Linked DNA regions of Arabidopsis thaliana. The protein of the gene in region 1 interacts with the protein of each later gene in a pairwise test. Each region holds a gene or a part of one and is shown on either strand. Other genes may lie near its edges.

Evidence for each region.
Region 2: the proteins of AT3G13175 (region 1) and SFP1 interact in a protein complementation assay, tested with the Arabidopsis thaliana proteins (one large-scale study listed by BioGRID).
Region 3: the proteins of AT3G13175 (region 1) and AT1G16560 interact in a protein complementation assay, tested with the Arabidopsis thaliana proteins (one large-scale study listed by BioGRID).
Region 4: the proteins of AT3G13175 (region 1) and AT4G30660 interact in a protein complementation assay, tested with the Arabidopsis thaliana proteins (one large-scale study listed by BioGRID).

What each region holds. Positions count from the first base shown.
Region 1 is NC_003074.8:4,234,524-4,237,515, forward strand, and holds AT3G13175 (uncharacterized protein), read right to left. Parts: upstream 1,292-2,992; 5' UTR 1,058-1,291; coding exon 737-1,057; 3' UTR 552-736; downstream 1-551. Other genes in the region: AT3G13180 (NOL1/NOP2/sun family protein / antitermination NusB domain-containing protein), read right to left, coding at 1,803-1,934, 2,007-2,103, 2,213-2,298, 2,406-2,477, 2,560-2,678, 2,810-2,917.
Region 2 is NC_003076.8:9,646,884-9,654,552, reverse strand, and holds SFP1 (Major facilitator superfamily protein), read right to left. Parts: upstream 6,046-7,669; 5' UTR 5,596-6,045; coding exon 5,452-5,595; intron 5,310-5,451; coding exon 5,247-5,309; intron 4,103-5,246; coding exon 4,013-4,102; intron 3,881-4,012; coding exon 3,821-3,880; intron 3,681-3,820; coding exon 3,615-3,680; intron 3,530-3,614; coding exon 3,464-3,529; intron 3,296-3,463; coding exon 3,220-3,295; intron 3,073-3,219; coding exon 3,008-3,072; intron 2,909-3,007; coding exon 2,816-2,908; intron 2,675-2,815; coding exon 2,594-2,674; intron 2,502-2,593; coding exon 2,417-2,501; intron 2,050-2,416; coding exon 2,006-2,049; intron 1,631-2,005; coding exon 1,568-1,630; intron 1,484-1,567; coding exon 1,424-1,483; intron 1,334-1,423; coding exon 1,280-1,333; intron 1,172-1,279; coding exon 1,112-1,171; intron 1,011-1,111; coding exon 896-1,010; intron 517-895; coding exon 377-516; 3' UTR 127-376; downstream 1-126. UniProt on the Arabidopsis thaliana protein: Sugar transporter.
Region 3 is NC_003070.9:5,666,473-5,671,223, reverse strand, and holds AT1G16560 (Per1-like family protein), read right to left. Parts: upstream 2,841-4,751; 5' UTR 2,760-2,840; exon of another isoform or gene 2,306-2,759; 5' UTR 2,280-2,305; coding exon 2,185-2,279; intron 2,065-2,184; coding exon 1,815-2,064; coding exon of another isoform or gene 1,811-1,814; intron 1,732-1,810; coding exon 1,535-1,731; intron 1,446-1,534; coding exon 1,258-1,445; intron 1,180-1,257; coding exon 881-1,179; 3' UTR 516-880; downstream 1-515. Other genes in the region: AT1G16570 (UDP-Glycosyltransferase superfamily protein), read left to right, coding at 47-344, 435-461.
Region 4 is NC_003075.7:14,953,843-14,956,711, reverse strand, and holds AT4G30660 (Low temperature and salt responsive protein family), read right to left. Parts: upstream 1,334-2,869; 5' UTR 1,243-1,333; coding exon 1,153-1,242; exon of another isoform or gene 903-1,152; coding exon 768-902; 3' UTR 712-767; exon of another isoform or gene 552-711; 3' UTR 541-551; downstream 1-540. Other genes in the region: AT4G30662 (uncharacterized protein), read left to right, coding at 182-529; AT4G30650 (Low temperature and salt responsive protein family), read right to left, coding at 2,014-2,145, 2,220-2,309.

The DNA.
Region 1 (2,992 bases):
TGCCAATATAAAATAATCATGTGCACTAAATTTGAAATAATTAATGTGTATGGTAAACTAGATTAGAATTAGTTCTAGACTTCTAGTGGTCGAGATTTGTTCATAAGCTTTATGCTCGGACACGTGAGGAACATACCAAAATGTTCGAATCTATTATGCCATACACTTATTTTAATCATTTCTTCTCTATGATAGATTGCTCACCTAATTTATATATAATCTAAGAATATACTACTTAGCTTTAACGTATTTTATCCGATAACGAATTCATGATACCAAAAAAGTTCTAAAACAAAAGAGGCATCTTGTATTATTTATAGTATTTCTAACTAAAACACAACACTGATAACATTTAAATTGCTTTGTTCCGTTTAATTAGTAAACAAATGAAAAGCTGTCGCGTCGGTGGTTGGGTTTCATTCGGAAAGATTTAAAAGTAAAGCGCACGGATTTTAAGGTCGTTCAACATTTAAATTTTTTTTGAAAGTAAAATCATATATCAATGCAATGTGTAATCTTGTAACGTATAAACTAATGAGAGATACCTAAAGAAAAGAAGCCTCGCGCCTAAACAGAAACATAAGATTAAAATAAGTAATATAGAAGCATAAACTTAAGCAAGATTTTATTCCTCGTGAAAATATTACATTTTGTAATTTTATTTTCTCTAGTATTAAAAAAGGAACAACTAATTAACGGAAATACTTAAGGAATTAAGAACAGAGAGGTCTCATACTTAGTCAAGTTTGGTGAAGCTATCAAAGAGAATGTCTTCGTGTTGTCCGCCGACGACATAGTCAAGAATCCCTTCCGCCGCCACTTTTAAGCCTGCGCCTTCGCCTGGGATGATGGTAGACGAAACCGGGAGATCGGAGGTGCGTGCGAAGAAGAAAACGGCAGCGAGAAAGAGAGCCGTGGAGAGAAAAAGTGGCCAGAAGTAAGATAGAACGGTGAGGAAACCGGGAGAATAAGCGACGAGAGCTACGGTGAGGAGAGATAAAACAAAGGCAAACACGATTTGCAACTTGAACTTCAAAAGCTTCTCCCGGAACTCCATCTCCGATCACCGACAAAGATCTGTGAGTCTGTGACTGTTGTGTTAACACGAGAAAGATGGAGTGAAGAGAGATAGAGATATATCTAAAAGAGAGATAGTACAATGCTAACTCTCTCTCTGTCTTTCCTCTGAGTGTCTATACGTAAAGAAATAGGAAAGATTCTCTGTGACAAGGATAACGTCAAAATCTCAAGTTATTTTGTTTTTAAACGCGTTTGAAAATTATACTGTTTTTCTTCTAACGAAAATGATAATATATTTTTAAGATTTTTATGTTACTTTGTTCTGTGACTTGTATGAACATTTTTTTTTTTGTAAAGTTGTCGTAAAAGTCAAAGAATGAAACATTTTCTGACATAAATAGTAAATCGTACAAAGCTAAAATAATGATAAGAGAGATATTTTCAATTCAGTTATAATGTTGTCCGTTTTGCATGATTGAATTTTTAACTTTGGATTCAGGCCGACCAAAATATGGGCCTTTAAAAGCCCGATTTGGGTTGCTAACAGACGACTACTCTTTTGTTAGAACTTACACGAGCCGCCGTTTCTACTTTCTAGCTCTGGCAAAACGGCGAGGCATTTTCTTTAAACATATCAACATACAATTAGCAGCATCTCTACAAGTTTACACTTCTCTCATAAAACCCAACTCTACGAATAAAAGAGAAGGTGTTTTCATTTATCCTCTTCGTCTAATTGCATCCAAACTCTCAGCAGAGACAAATACAGCTTGCTTTTAACGTCACAAGGCTCGAACCAGACGAGCTGCAAATGCTCCATCTAGTGAGTGTTTCACTGGGTTTGATAAAAAGAAGCCTTGTGAGGTTACAAAACTCGACGGTACAAAACTGGTTACTGGATCTATGGTGAATTCCTGTGAAAGCAGAGAGACTATTTGTTAATATCAACATCTGAAGGAAAGCAAATGGATTATAAAGATTCTTACAGGATGTCTTAAGAGAAATGCTTCGACCCTTCCTTCATTTTCCTCGGGGTCTATGGAGCAAGTACTGTATACCAACACCCCACCGTGCTTCACCAGTCTTTGAGATTCAATCAAGAGTGTCACAGATAAAAGTATCAGATAAGTCGCATATTAGTGTTTCAGAATTAATCAAATGACTCATCAAAATGTATGTACAGAGTGCATACTTGGAGGCAGAATCAAGAAGCTCATCCTGCAGTTTAGTGAGCTCTAACATGTCCTCAAGTTTACGGTTCCAGCGCAAATCCGCTCTCTACAAAATACAGATTAATGGGAACAGGTTAATCAGATCAGGTCAATTCAACTAGCAATGTTAAATCTTGCTGGCGAAACAGTTAGATAAACTTTTCTCATGTTAACCTTGGAGAGGACGCCGAGTCCAGAACACGGGGCATCAAGCAAAACTTTGTCATATTGTACTTCATTGGTTTCCTAAAACACATTAAGTTGGAAGGAAGCATGTGAGTAGCTTACAAACTTGGAAACTTCAGATACTCAAATAATGTTAACTTACAGCAAAGACACGAAGATCAGAATGAATGGTTGTGATAAGTCCATCAACTTGGTGTGATTTTGCTGTCTCACCAAGAATTCTTAGCCGTCCTTCATTCACATCCATAGCATATATCATACCTATAATCGATTCGAGTTTGCCAGTTTGAGGATGGAATCAGTCAAGTATAGTAGAAAAGTTTCTCAAAATAGATAATTTAATTCAACATTAATGTACAATAGAGGAAAATAAGGGGTCTTTGTAATATTACCTTGGCCTTTCAAGCAAGATGCCATGAATAGGGTCTTTCCTCCAGGAGCAGCACATGCATCCATTATCCTCTCGCCTGGCTGAGGTTTCACCACTGAGACTATTAGTCCTGCAGTACCAGATGTGGGGAGATATTTAGATATCAAAAGAACAAAAGGATTTTGGATAAACTTAAATCTGTTAA
Region 2 (7,669 bases), on another chromosome or scaffold:
TTTCGAAATATATAGTTTTCTAAATATACTAGCTACTTCATATTAAACAGCAATATTAGGACTTAACAGTTTAGATTAATTAATCGCATGTTTATTGTTCATCATTAATTACCCTAGTTACCCAATACTAGAAATCAATCTCTTCTTTAATATATGTCCGAAAAATATTACATTTGCAATTTTAGAGATAAAATACACATGTACGTAGGCCAAGTTTTACATCTCGTAAATATACATCATAAAAATGGGGCTAATTACCCAGAAAAATAAAGTAGTAATTACATAATGAAAAAAAAAAATCCTTGTTTGTAAATAAACAAATATAACACCATAAACTGAATTTGATCATTTTTATAATAAAATAAAATAATTCAAATTAAGTTTGATTTCTTTCATCGGGCTGATGAATAAGTGAAACTTGTATTTCTTCGAGTGATAATCCTTTCGTTTCTGGAACGAGCAACCATATAAAAAGCAACGCTGCTCCACCGATACCCGCGAATATGAAAAACGTTCCTATTACATTAATTAAACTATATAAGAAAATTATAAATTAAATGCAATTATAATATATATATATATATATATAGACATTAGGAGAAAATAAAATAAATACAAACTATATAACATATTCACTCAACCAAAAATTTAACTAATTAGTCTTTTAAAATAAAATAAACAAATAGTTGTGTTATAAAATGTATATGAGGTTTCATTGAAATGCTATAAACACAGACTTTGAAAACTATATAAGTTTTCTAGACTTAATCATTGATTATTTCTATGCGATATACAAAAAAAAAGGATAAGTTATAACTTTTTTTGTTGATCACAAGATAATTTATATAACCAAAATTGTATAAAATGGATATTAAGAAAAAGAAAAACATAATACCTTGAGTGCTCCATTCGAACAGAAAGTTGAAAGCGTAAGTGACGATTGAACTACTTGAAAATGAGACTAACGTAACTATACTTCCTGCAGTTACTTTTATATTTATTGGAAATATCTGCACACACCAAAAATCATACATATATTACTTTATTTTTCAAGACATATTACTTACTTCCTGCATAGAAATAAAATTAACAGTGAAGTAAATTTATGTACCTCCGACATAATTACCCAAGGTAGACCTCCCAAGCCTATTGCATAAGTTGCAATATACATCTGCCGATTTAAAAAATATCAATTTTAACTATATTTTATATGTAAAAGAAACATCAACGTAAATATTTTCATCAAAAAGATTGTGTACAAGGAGATATAATGTCTTACCATTACGCATATAAACGATAATATTGGAGTTAGTTCCGAAAGCAATTGCATTTTCTGCTCATGCAAAAACATTGTTAAACAAATAAGTTATTGGTTTAAAAACAGAATAAATAAAAATAGTAATTATCTTACAAAAAAAATAACCTGTAATGTGAAGGCGACCCCAAGTAGCATGCAAGTCATGCTCATCCCAAACGCTGAAGTCTATGTCAAAATAGTAATCAAATCAATATAGACTAATAGATTTGAATCTGCGAACAGCCAGAAATTATTTAAAGACATGCTCACCATCAGGAGAGGACGTCTGCCCCATTTATCGACAAGAATGAGGCCAATCATGGCTTTTGGAATCTGCGAATAGCCAGATATTATACCATTCAATGCTTTCACGAGTTAAAAGAAAAAAAACTAGTACATGAAAATTCTTAGTTCAAAGAGTTCATTAAAGTACGAAATTTTAACAAAATAAAAAATGTCGTTTTTTCAACTGTGATAAAATGTCGATTAAAACGCCAACATCACACAAGTTTTGTTTTTTTTTGAATATTTGGAAGTTGAAACCCAAAAATTCTATATCTCCTAGAAACGCGACCTATACCAGGTTAAATAACATCACACAAGTTTAGTTGCTCAATAACAACAGATTTCAGAGACGTAGTTTCATTTCTTAAATTTTGCATCCATATAGTCAAACAAAATTTGAGAAAAACATTTATATATACTTACCACGAAGATACCTAGCATCGTCGTTCCAATGGCCACCGAAAAACCTGTTTCCATCCAGAACAATTATTGAGCAAAAAAAAATGGAAAGAGGAACTCATGGTAAATATTTACTAAAACCCTTTCTCTTAAAGTATTTAGAATGAGCTAATGGCATCATTTTACAAAATAAATACACAATTTAATTTTATTTTGAGAAATCTTAGGAGTTCAGGACCTTTGCCCATAATCTATTGATTGGTAGAATAAAATATGTTTTGTTAGAAAAAAAAACATTCTCAGAGAAACTGAAACTTCTATGCAAATCTTCACTTGCAGATTTGAACAGATTGTCATATAATATATATATAGTTATTATTATTTCTGACATTTTAATATAAAATTAAACATTAATAAAAATAAATGAATGCTTACCAGCTTTTCTAAAAATGGTACTTGCATAAGAGATTACAGCAGCACTTCCTGAGAATTGTTGTATCAACATTAGCCCGATTCCTACCTGAGATATTAATTAAAAATGAATGCTTGTGCAGATAAATTAAATATGAAAATTTGATACTCTAGAAATTAGTTTGATGTACTTGTACGTACCACGAGGGTGTATCTATACTTTCTCTGGAACAAATCTGAAAAACTCGACTTTGAATCATTTTCCACCATTTTGGTCATTACCTGAAAACAACACAGAATTATTCAGACTTTACATTTTTTTATTTGTGAAGGAATGAAAATATAATTTCAAAGAAAAAGGGAATGTATATTTATTGAAAATTATATAAATTATAACTGATAATAGTATATAGTAAAACTCACTTGAATTTCTGAGGCTTCACGTGAAATATCAGCATCTCTTCCTCTAAGCCGAAACAGTGAATTTTCTAGTTCTTTATCGGAGCCAACTTTGGCCTTCAAAATGAAAATAGTTTGGTTTAAATTTTTTTCTTCTCATGGTTGATAATAATTAATAAATTACGTAAAACACTAAAGAAAAATTAAATGACCAACCAGCCATCTTGGAGACTCTGGCACGAAGAATAAACCGATTACTTGAATGAAGCATGGTAAAGCACCTAAACCAAAAACGTATTACATTTTTATCAGTTGATTTGCTATAATATAACAGCTGAAGATTTCCAGTTTTTTTCTACTATACATTTAACATATTCTTACGTCTCAAAACAATTTTTTCACGATGAATATGGAATTTATAGTCTTACCTAATAAAGCCAACGTCCTCCAAGTGATGAAATTCCCACAGAAATAAATCATGGCGAGTCCAGCGTTTTGAAGAAGCTAATAATCAATAATTACACAAGAATGAAACAAGGATCAATATACTCACGAGAAATTTTGAAAAGTTTTAATTTGGATTTTGGTTGGTTTGTCTTAGACTAGTTTGTGCTATTTTTTTTTTTTGTCAGCACTCATTCTTATAAATATTCTAAAAACCTAAAGTATTACCTGGTTTGAAAACGTAAATGTACCACGAACATGTTTTGGCGTAATTTCTGCTATGTAGACAGGTACCTGCTTGGTAAATAAGCAAAAATTACAGATCAGAAAACAAACTTACAAAGATGATATTAAATAATAATAATAATAAGTTAATTACCACATAGCTCGTCAAGCCGAAACCTATCCCTGAAATGATTCTTCCGAAGTTCAGCAACACTACTTCCTATTGTATTCCAAAACATAACATAAATTTAATTATTGGGTTTATAATAACCATAAATTAATTGGTTTGTTTATTTTCTAAGAAATAATGTTTGAATGAAAAAAAAAACATGTTTATGAATAGAAAATAACTAGTAGTACCTTAGCAAAAGCGATGGAGAGCCAACCAGTGATGCATAGGAAATCGGAGACCCACATTGTCTATTATATCATAAATAGCAAAAATATTATTATAAGCATCATATATACGAAAATTATAGTCACGAAAGAACCAAAAAAATAGAAGAATGGTAAAATTACGAATATGAAAGGTGAAATGGTTAAATTAATTACCCCTCTTCTGCCAATGACCATTGCCAGATTACCGCAGAACAGTGCACCAATTGCAGCTCCTAAAGTGGCGAATGAGCCAAAAGCTGAAAACTGAGAAAAAAATGATTTATAACAAATATAGTTTTCATATATATAGTATTATTATTATTATTTTTAATATATATATATATATATATATATATATAATATTTCAATATTTCAAATTTCTATTATTGTAGATGAGAGAATTGGCCGGAGAATGGTTCTGGAACGATGGAAACGTTGATAGCTAGATAATGTTTTTATAAGATGATTTTGACAACCGCTCAATATATCAGGATATATGTGCATATATATAGTTTTGGTAGGGTTATTATTATGATAAATAATGTTTTTTTTTGGATGATTTCGACAATTCCATATATATCAGGATAATATATATATATAGTTTTGGTAGGGTTATGATAAGAGTTTAAAAAATGGGTAAAAAAGGAGGTGAACCACACCAACAAAGAAGTATAATCAACTCAATGGGATAACGACAATCTATATGTTTCTTCTTTAGAATTGATGGTTGTTTGTTTCAATTTGAATGAATAAAGAAACAAATATTTACGGATTTAAAAATGATGTGAAGCTTGTATTTTGATAAAAATTGAACGATAATTAACCTAGCTATTTTTTGCATATGTCAATATGTCACTCGCTCTCAGTTGCTTAATTATACACAAAACTTTGTTTGTTTGTTTAAGGATGATAGTATAAAAGAATTAACTTTGAATGGATGTGGTTTTTAAACTAGTTTTTGGTTTTAGTTTTTTCTAAAATCTATTTTGTAACCATTCAAAATTTTGAAAAAACAAGTTTTCTTAAAAAAATAGGGAATCTAGTTTTTGAGTGTTTTAACAACTTTTCAAAGAAAATCAAAATCTATGTTTTGAGAGTTTCTCTATAAAAAAACCATCGATCACATTTTTTATTTTATTTTTAGATTTTTTTTGTAAAATAAAATATAATCCATTAACATAAAAACCAAAATCTAAACAAATTACCATTCAAGTTTTTAAGAAACTAAAATCTACACCAAAAACAAAAACCAAGAAAATCAAAAACTAAAAACCAAAATCCAAAAACCATTTTAAAAACTACAAACATTCATGGCCTTAGTCTTTTTTTTTTGATAAAATTTGCTACTTGGTTAATTTTCAATACATGTTTTTAGAAATAGAAGAAAAACCGTAAAAGAGAGACATACTTGCGCGATAGAAAGATCCAAGTCCTTCATAACTCCTGTCTCAGCACCTGAAGTGTAACCAGTCTGTATAAAAACAACAAAAACTATAAGAAAATAGGTATAACGTAATTATGAAGTATGTTTTCTTTTCATACAATTTTGTTGTTTTCATTTGTTCTTCTATAGAAGAAGAAAAAATCAAAGTAAGGTAAAGTAGAAAACTCACAGCAACACCAAAAGAGAAGGAGCCACAAACGGCGACAAAAGTGCTAAGGATAACACAAGCAGTAATACGACACTCTGAATCGTCGTTTTTGTTCTTGAGCTGCAAAAGCCCTTCTTCTATGCTTCTTCCTTCCTCCATCACCATCCCTTACACTTGCATGTACTAATATGACGAAACTTATGGTAAAGAAACAGTGAGAGCTAGAGAGAAAATGCTCTGTTTTTAGCAAAAAACCAAGAGAGCTAGAGAAAGAAGAGAAAGAGAGCGAATGATGTGTTTGTCAATTTAGACTACGTATAAAAAGAGGCTGGGAATTAAAAATGGTTATTTTGGTTTTCTACTCTTTAGGGGTTTTGGATTGGAAAAGCTAACGTGTGGACGTGAGACGTTTTTTTAAACAAGATCAAGTCAAATTTCATTAAACCAAGTTTTGTTGTTTTAAATTATAAAAATACAGCTAAGTATTAGTATATGATCATTCATCATCTGGATTCTAAAATAGTTTGACGTATACAAAATGCTAAACACTTTGAAAAAATATCCTTTAACCAGCAAATGGTGAAGACTTCTAATTAAGGGTTGGATTGGAAAGCTAACGTGGACGCGTAAGACCTTTTTTGTAAGACTTTGGGTTTTATTGGTAACCAAAAGCTGTACAAAATTTTTATTTGTTAGCTTTATCGGAATAGTACAAAGCTGTTAAAAGGAACTGTATAAAAAAAGCTGAGAGTAAAACACTTTTTGTAACGTTTTTGATAAAAAAATTGTGATTGGTAACTGTCAAAACGGTACAAAACTGTATTGTTATTAAAATGGTTACCATTCAAACCCTTTATATCATTTTAAGTCAAATTTCATTCAACTAAGTTTTCTTCTTGAAAAAATAAATACAAGTACTATTTAAATTATTATTATATGATCATTTGTCATGAGCGTATTCTTAAATAGTTTGACGAATTAAAAATACTGTAGTATGAAAAAAATATTGACATATTCTTTAAAATACCAAAGTTTTTTTTATAACAAATTATAAACAACGATTAATCGTCTATAGCGAATGATCCTAGTTATATGTCAATGTGGAGAAAGCTCTTTTCACATATAATTGGAAGCAATAATCTGAGTCAGGACATATACGTTACCTTGGATCAACAAAAATCGACAGTTACTCTTTTTTTCTCTCTGAAAGATTATTCTCAACTTGTAAAAGTGACGTCTTCTCTTGTTGATTGGTCCCTTATCTCAACGTATCTAGATGGATTCACGATAAGTATTATTTTGAATTCCATGCAATTTAAATTATATTAATGTGTATATATTGCTGGTTTGGATTATGGAATATTTTAACTTAAATTCATATCTTTGAGTAAAAAAAATATCTCTCCAAGACTATAACATTATAAGTTTGAATGGTAACACAATACAGCTTTGTACAGTATTGATAGTTATCAATCACAAAAACTTTATCAAAAACGTTACAAAAAGTTTTCTTCTTAGATTTTTTGTACAGTTTTTTTATACAGCTCTTTTAACAGTTTTGCACTATTTCGATAAAGTTAACAGCTAAAAAACTTGTACAACTTTTGGTTATCAATCAGATCCTATATTCGGGTGTTTTAAGAAGTTTTCACTCGTAACCAAAAGAAAATTGGATGACGATGGAACTCCATATTTGATGTAGAAAAAACAATCATTTATAGTCATTCATAATCATTGGATGAAAACCGTACGTTTCAACCTTTTTGTTTCTTTTTTTACATTAACTTGTTTAAATACCTCACAAGTTATTAGAACCTTTTAGTCATTCTTTGATTGAGTTTGCTAATACTTTTAATTAAATGTTTAATTAATCATAATTTAACGTTTTTGTCCTCCGTTGTTATTATTCTTACGTGAGGATCTATATTTGTACCTGTTACCATCTAGAAATGGAACCAAGTATTTAATTTTATTCATCAGTCTGCTGCTGAATTTTAAATATTAGGAGATTATAAAAAAAGAAAGGTCAACTAAAGAATTCGTAACGCGTACGGATCAACTATAATATCAATAAATGCTATTTTTGACAAATTATCAAATCTACAAATATTTTTAAACGCTTAATGACATATCTGTCCAAATAAACCATACAGAAGGAGAAATGATTAATGGAACTATATAACTAACGATAGTACTAATTTAAGTGTTGTCTAAAATTTTGTATAAACAACTTTAATCT
Region 3 (4,751 bases), on another chromosome or scaffold:
TTCACGAACAAATACTATAACTTTAAAACCTTCAACTTTCGTGAAGCATTCAAGAACTCGTTAAAGATGGGAAGAACGGACTTTTGTTTTCATCTTCATCAGAATTAGCAGATCAATTATTGGTAAGTAACTCGTCTTTCTTTTTAAAAGACTATTTCACCAAGTCTACAGCAGAAGACAGCAGTAATGTTCTTGTGTTTTGTCTTTGTGAACAGATTCTCTTCAAGGGTTTTCCAGGGAACTGTGATGCACTAATGTCGCTTAAAGCGGGTGCAATGGAGACTGGTTCTTCGGGTCGATGGGCTACAGAGTGGGAAGATTGTGCAAAACCTTTAATCACTCAGGCAAAATCCGTCGGCCCTCTCTGTATCCCGCACACATACTTTTTTATTGGGCTATTTCTCATAAGATGTCTTTATGTCTGGTCTATGCAGGTCGTGTCTCAAATTGCAGATTCATGAAAGAGAAGACTCAAAATCGATGGGCTTGAGAGTTTCTCACACAACTGCTTTTGTAGATCCAAATTTTTATACAAAATCCTATAGATTACAAGATTGTCTCGAAAATATTGACAGAATCTGAATTCAAAATGGTTTCGCATGAGTCTGTGTATGAATGAGTAAATGATATCAAAATCTTTCTTAACCAAAAGTAAGGCCAAAGAAAAACACTGAAAGGCTCAAAGCAAATTCAACAGTTAATGTAACAATATAAAATAAAAAAAACTGAAGAAACCTGTGAATCCATAAACCAGCTAGCTTTAAACAAAAGACTCTGCCTTCTTCGTGATGTTTAAATCCATTTCCATCTTTTGTTTTTCCCTCGTGTCTGCATACTCGTATGGTCGGATAAAAATCCTTGTAAAACTTAGCAAAGAGACTCACTTTGCCTTCGTCTTAGTTTTCTTGAGGAGGCTGGAAGTTCTGAACTCAGCATCGTCTCTAATGAAGCTCCACCAGAGAATGGTTAAGGGAATTGTGGCAGCGTGCCAGATCGAGTGAGCATCGAAGTAGCCTTCATATGGAGGAAAATCATATATCTCTAGAAGCATGGCTAATCCTCCAGCTATCACAACCACCCAAAGTTTCCAATTAGAAGGGTGGCTTGAGACAGCGGCCCATCTTGCCCATAGGAAAAGCTGTGAGACTCCCATTGCCACACACACAATCATGTTCCAGCCTGTAAACGACATTCAACTGATGAATTCACCAAAAATATTGACTCGATTTTTAGACAACGGAAAGTTATTGAGGGTACCATAGTCGAGTTTGTAGAAGTTTATGTAGAGTATGTGGGTGGTTACAAAAGCTAGTATTGGAGCGGATACCATGACCCTTGCAGCCTCAACCCGAATATCAAATGTTCGTAAAATGGCTAAGATGAGTGAGAATCCGAGAATCGCTACTGCGGATGAGTAGTCCAACCTCTCTGTAAGGTCAACATCCCTGAGAACCACAGAGACGGATTACCAGAAAATCACATATGAATATATGATGCAGATTGTGGATAATAGAGTAATGTGTAGATGATTTACCGGCTGTGGAAAACAGCACTCCAGAACCAAGAGTTCATGGACAGGAGACCGTAGATATGCCACAAACCAACGTATTCATAGTACGCTGTCCTATCTTGTTTCAGAGGCAACTTATAGTAGATCATGATGAAAAAGGAAAGCCAACCATGGAAATGCATTGCTAGGTTGAGTACAGAGAAAGCAACAGAAGCAGGCTCCTGGCAAAGAACAAGGTAAGTCAAAACTCATATTATATGGAAACAACCAGAATAAAAAAAAGCGATTGAAGAAAAAAACTAACCTGAATCCCAAGTACACGCTTGAAGGGCCATTTACCATGGTACTTGACTGGGGCTTGACCGAGAGTTTCCCGTTCAGTCTCTCTATTAACCATACATTGATAACGGCAATCACCTTGACAACCCCATTTTTTCCATTGTAAATACAAAGGTTCTTGGATGTACCATGGACCACCATCGGATGAAGAATTGCACTGAGGAAAGCAAAGTTGTCCAACACAACCGCTTATCTCACATTCTGAAACACATGTCCTGACACAAAATTGCCAGACATTCATAATCTCCACGAATCAAAAATGTTGCTTACATATAAGCTACAACAAAACCAAGTTCACGATAGATACTCAAAGATTACCGAAATTCTAAGATTACCTGTAATCTGGATCAGCATCGCCAGCACTAGCATTTGAAATACAGAAAAGGCATGGCAACAATAGAAACAGGGCTGTCCAGTAGTGGACTGCCATCTGAGCAGAAAGTTGAAGTGAAATCACTGCGTGATAATAACAATGCAAGCCTCAAAAAACAAAGAAAGAAATCGCTTAAAGGAGCTGCAAATGGAAACTATGAATCAGAGACTATAAAAAAAAACTACAAATGTGAAGATCTTCATATGATGCTTCCGTTAAGAATCCTAAAGCAAGTGTTTATTCCAGTGAAAGAAATTCTCACATATCAATAAAAATCCTTCTATAATTCGACCTTGAAAGACTACAGAATCTCTTGGTTAAGGATCGAACTTGATTTCTGTAGAATCTAATACTATGATTTCCAGATTCGATCAGATTATCGAAAACTCAGAACTTAAATCAAATGCAGAGCTTAAACCCCCTCGAGATCTACCAATCAAGCAGGGACAACAACAACAAGATGAGAAATCGATCAGCTATAATGTAGAGAGCAAGAAAATAGAGAAAAAATCGAGCAGATCAGATAGAATCCAATACCTCCCGAGTCTGAGTCTGAGAGTCTGGTCTTCGCAACAATGTTAAAGCTTCAAAGAATATTATCGCACTCCTGTAAATAATGGAGACGACGAAAGAGAAGACCACGTGTCTTATAATTTAAACTAAACGACGTAGTTTTTGCATTATTCTTTTTCTTTCTAGTTTCTACCATTATCTGCTTTACAAAATGTCCCCCAAAAAAGAGTAACAAAACCTTCTTTCGTATTTATCTTATCTCAATAATATAATTGTTACAAGTACTCAGAAGAATGGGAATTTGCAGACATAATATAAGTAAGAGAGGTTTTAGTGCAAGGCAAAAAGAATGACCCTATGGTTTCCTTCCAATGCTTTCTTGGAGCTTTTTTGATAGTTCCTCATAGTGTCTTCTTTGCTGTTTGTTCACAGAAGGTGAGACTAAGGACAATGCTTGCTCGAAATGAGTCATCTTAATCGTACACTGACTTGTATCTGTAATATCGTCATCATCTTCACATGAAATTGTGGTGATCTCCTCCACTGCCTGGAATGTAGCTTTTTGCACCAAGTGAGCGAGATCAGCTCCGCTGAAACCTTCACAATTCATCTTTGCAATGCTATCAAGATCAACACTAGGATCTATGGGCTTCTTCCTTGCAATAGCTTTTAGAATTGAAGCACGTTCATCGGCGTTAGGGAGGGGTACATATAGAAGATTCCCAAACCTACCAGGTCTCAAGAACGCAGGATCAATTACATCTGGCCTGTTTGTAGCTCCAATTACGTATACATTACGCCTCTCTCCACCGTCTAGCTCAACAAGGAACTGGTTTAAAAGCCGTTCAACAACCCAGGCACCTTCTTTGCCACGGCTTGTTGTCAAAGCATCCACCTCATCAAAGAAGATCACACATGGCGAACATGTCCGGGCACGCTGAAACAATGTCCGAATAGCAAGCTCGCTCTCTCCAACGTACTTGTTTAGAAGCTCTGCACCCTTGATGTGCATGAAATTAGCTCCTGCCTCGTTAGCAACTGCCTTTGCAATCAATGTCTTGCCACAACCCGGTGGTCCATAGAGTAAAAATCCAACCTCTAAGTCTACCCCAAAAGCCTAAAAAGAACCAAAGTGGCACATTCAGACCTCGAGAGAAAAAGCAAGTAATCTTGACTATATAACAGTTCTAAGTGACTTATTAGTTACCTTGTAAATATCAGGCTTTTTGATAGGTCTGACTATATAGCGGTTGAATTCAAGTCGTAGATGCTCAAGTCCACCAACATCATCCCACTTGACATCAGGCACGATAGAGAATCCTTCCCTTGTTAAAGATGCCTGAACTAGATTCACTGCTTCCTAGTAGATTACAGAGCAACCAACAGAGTTAGGAACCAAGGATTAAAATCTCGTAGCTATTGAAGTACAGAAAAGTAGACTCATGCCATGCCTACAATTAACATACCTCGAAATCAGACATCTTAACAAAGAGTTTTTCCAACTCTTCTTCTGGCCAGGGATGCCTCAGCCAAGAACTATCATCTTCAGAGTCCCCAGCCAGTTGAGATTTTCTTGAATCCAAGATTCTCTTTGTGGCAATCCTGCCAGCCATGTTAGCAACACCCTCCAAATCTGCTCCAACAAAACCCGGCGTTAAACGAGCTATTCTTTTCTTGTCAAAGGGCCCTTCTAGTCTAAGTTTTTGGGCTACAACAGAAAGTATCTCAGCTCTTGCATCTTCATCTGGAACACCTAGAGCAATCTCACATTCAAATCGTCCACTTCTCCTCAAAGCAGGATCAAGAACATCAGGCCATTTGTAGCTCCAATAACGAGAACAAATCCAACACTAGACTCAGGACCATTGTTACCAGGTCCATCCATACAAGTCAATAATTGCGTTACAATCCGCTTTTCCATCTCCCTTTGCTGATTTTCCCTCTTTGATCCAATCGCATCAATCTCATCGATAAACACAATGGAAGGTGCAGTCCTATACGCTTTAGAGAAAAGCT
Region 4 (2,869 bases), on another chromosome or scaffold:
TTCAAAGAAGAAGTAGCCCATGTTTAAGCCATGGTCGTTTCGTTACCTAAGCCTAGCGATATTATAAATACTAATTCTTTTGCACACATAATGCGTCCCATCATTGTAAAATTAACACATATTTCTGATTTTTTTCGATCAGATACATGTATATACACACATATTATTTGATAAAACAGAAATGAGGACTTCACTGGCATTTTCTTGTTCATTGATTGTACTCCTATTGTTACTCTCTCAGCCTTTGCCAATTTCATCTGAAAATAAGGAGAGTGAACGAAGACTTGCACAACACGGTGACTCCAATCCGTTGGATCATCATGACTCTCTTCGAGTTTTCATGAGGAAAGCTCGTTTTGGTGGTGTTGGTGGTGGTAGTCGTGGTGGTGGTCGTAGCCACCGTCGTGTCCCCAGTAGTGGTCATGGTGCGGGTGGATCATCCGCTACTAGTCGACCTTGTCTCTCGATGGCATTGCGCTACGGTTCCACGGTCGCGAGCTCAATTCTGTTGATGTTCTTCGCCTTCTAATTAAACTCTTTTTTTTTTTAACCTTTCAATTTAATAATTTAATTTGTGCCTTGCGAAAACACTATGTCAACAACCTGATGCATAAGCACACATAGCAGGAGGGTTCATAAGCTGATAACAGAAGAAACTTTCAATATTGCATATAAATGACACACAAACGTTTTCAAATCTCTGAAAACAACTGCAAAGCAACTTTATTGGTACAAGTCAAAGCAACACAGTTCCAAAGAAACAGAAATCAAGCAGAGTAGATGGGGCGTCTGTATTCATCAAAGTACTCTTCACGGTGCTGAAACACAATCACGTAAATCGCATATATTATCCCCGGGACATAGCCTAAGATCGTCAACACCAGGCATATCAAAAACTCCACCTGCCAAAACAAACCACACATAAAAAAAATTCAACTTTCTTCAAATGATTATCCAAGCTTTCAGGAATCAATGAATCAAACATAAATTGATCCAATCCAGAGAATTTCTGCGATTCATATCATAGATTAAGCACTCCCTTCATTACTCATACCAAATTACATTATAATCAATCCAAAATTACAGTCTCTATAAGAAGTTCCAGGATTCTTCAAAATTGAGGAATTCGAAAGAGAGAGAGAGAGAACTTACAGTGCAGCATCCTTTCCTGAAGCAAACTCCGAGAGGAGGAAGAAGGATCGCGATAATGATCTCGCACAGAATCTCACAGTTGCTCGGCATTTTTTCAGAGAGATGAGATGAGAGAAGAAGAAGCTTTAAGAGTTTTTTTAAAAGACAAAACACTGAAACTTGCTGTCACAGAGTTGAGAGTACCAATGAAGAGAGATCAGTCCACGTTTTATTTTGTTTCCACTACAAAGTCAATGTGCGAGATCTGCACCGTTCATTTATTGATATTTAAATCGTACGGCTTTAGATTACATCTCGTGAATCACAACGAACGATATGGTGCACCCTTATCACATCAGATCACTTTTAGATATTTTAGTCTCTGACTCATCCATGTGACTAAATGGGCCTGGGAAGGCCTGTCTATTTTATTAATCCCGGGACCAGACTGGAATTGGACAGAAACGTTTTGACTCAAACGGTGTCGTATTACTGAGACTTTGATTCCTCAACTCACAATCATTGTCATTATTTGCCAAAGTAACAGAAATCTATCTTTTTTAGCATAATCTATACCATAATATATGTTGGCATCATACAAAATCCTTTCAAACTCAAAAATGCTTCCGCATTTTGCGAAGTTTAAACTCCGGTAAATACAATCTTGGCAAAGAATTTGATACATTAACTCTTAGGAAGGTCCGTAGCCTGACTTTGCAAAAGCCAACAAGTTATACATCAAAAAGATAAGCAATGTATCAATAACGCGACAATGTTCTCAAATCTTCAATACATAAAAATTGCAAAGCAACTTATTATTTGGTACATGATAAGTAAAACAGTTTCAACAACATATTGATCCGTGTAATGGACCAAAACAGATCAAGCTGAGTTAAGTGGAGCTCCAAGTTCGGTAGAGCCTTCACGGTTTTGAAACACGATCACGTATAGTGCATAAATTATCCCTGGGATGTATCCTAAGATTGTCAGCACCAAGCAAATCAAGAACTCTACCTGCAAAAAAACTAAGAGTCAGATTTTCTAAACTAAATCTCAAGATTCATGATTCCAAAATTCCAATAACTTACAGTGCAACAGCCACGTTTGAGACAAACTCCAAGAGGTGGAAGAAGGATCGCGATTAAGATCTCGCAGAAAACTTCCATGTTGCTCGCCATTTTTTCAGAGATGTGAGTGAAGAAGATTCTTGAATGTGATCTGAATTAGTGGAGAAGAAGAGAACACTGAAAGTAGTCGGTAGCACAGAGATCCAATTAAAAGAGCAATCCACGGCTTTTTATTTTTGGCGCTACCAAGTCAACTACGAGATCTGCACCGTTTATTTGTTTGGTATATAAATCGTACGGCTTCAGCTTACATGCCGACATCTCGTAAAATTACCTTACCTTGCCCCCACTCTTTAGATATTTTCATCTCAAGAACACGCAAGGTATGGTGCAACACAACACACCTGATCATTGTGGGATATTATTACTCTGACTCGCCCCCTTATCGTACGGTTAATGGATCACGTGACTAAGTTGGCCTAGAAGGCCTGTCTTCTATTGTTTCCGGGACCGGACTTTGATTAGCCCAATTTTTCTGTTGCTTGCTTAGATGGCAAGCTATCTCAGTACATTTACTTAACCCATTTCCCTCAATGTTTATTTCACTTAACACTATGATTCAGACCTAAAGCAATGAAGAATATTAATAGAACACACCAAAAGTTGGGAAT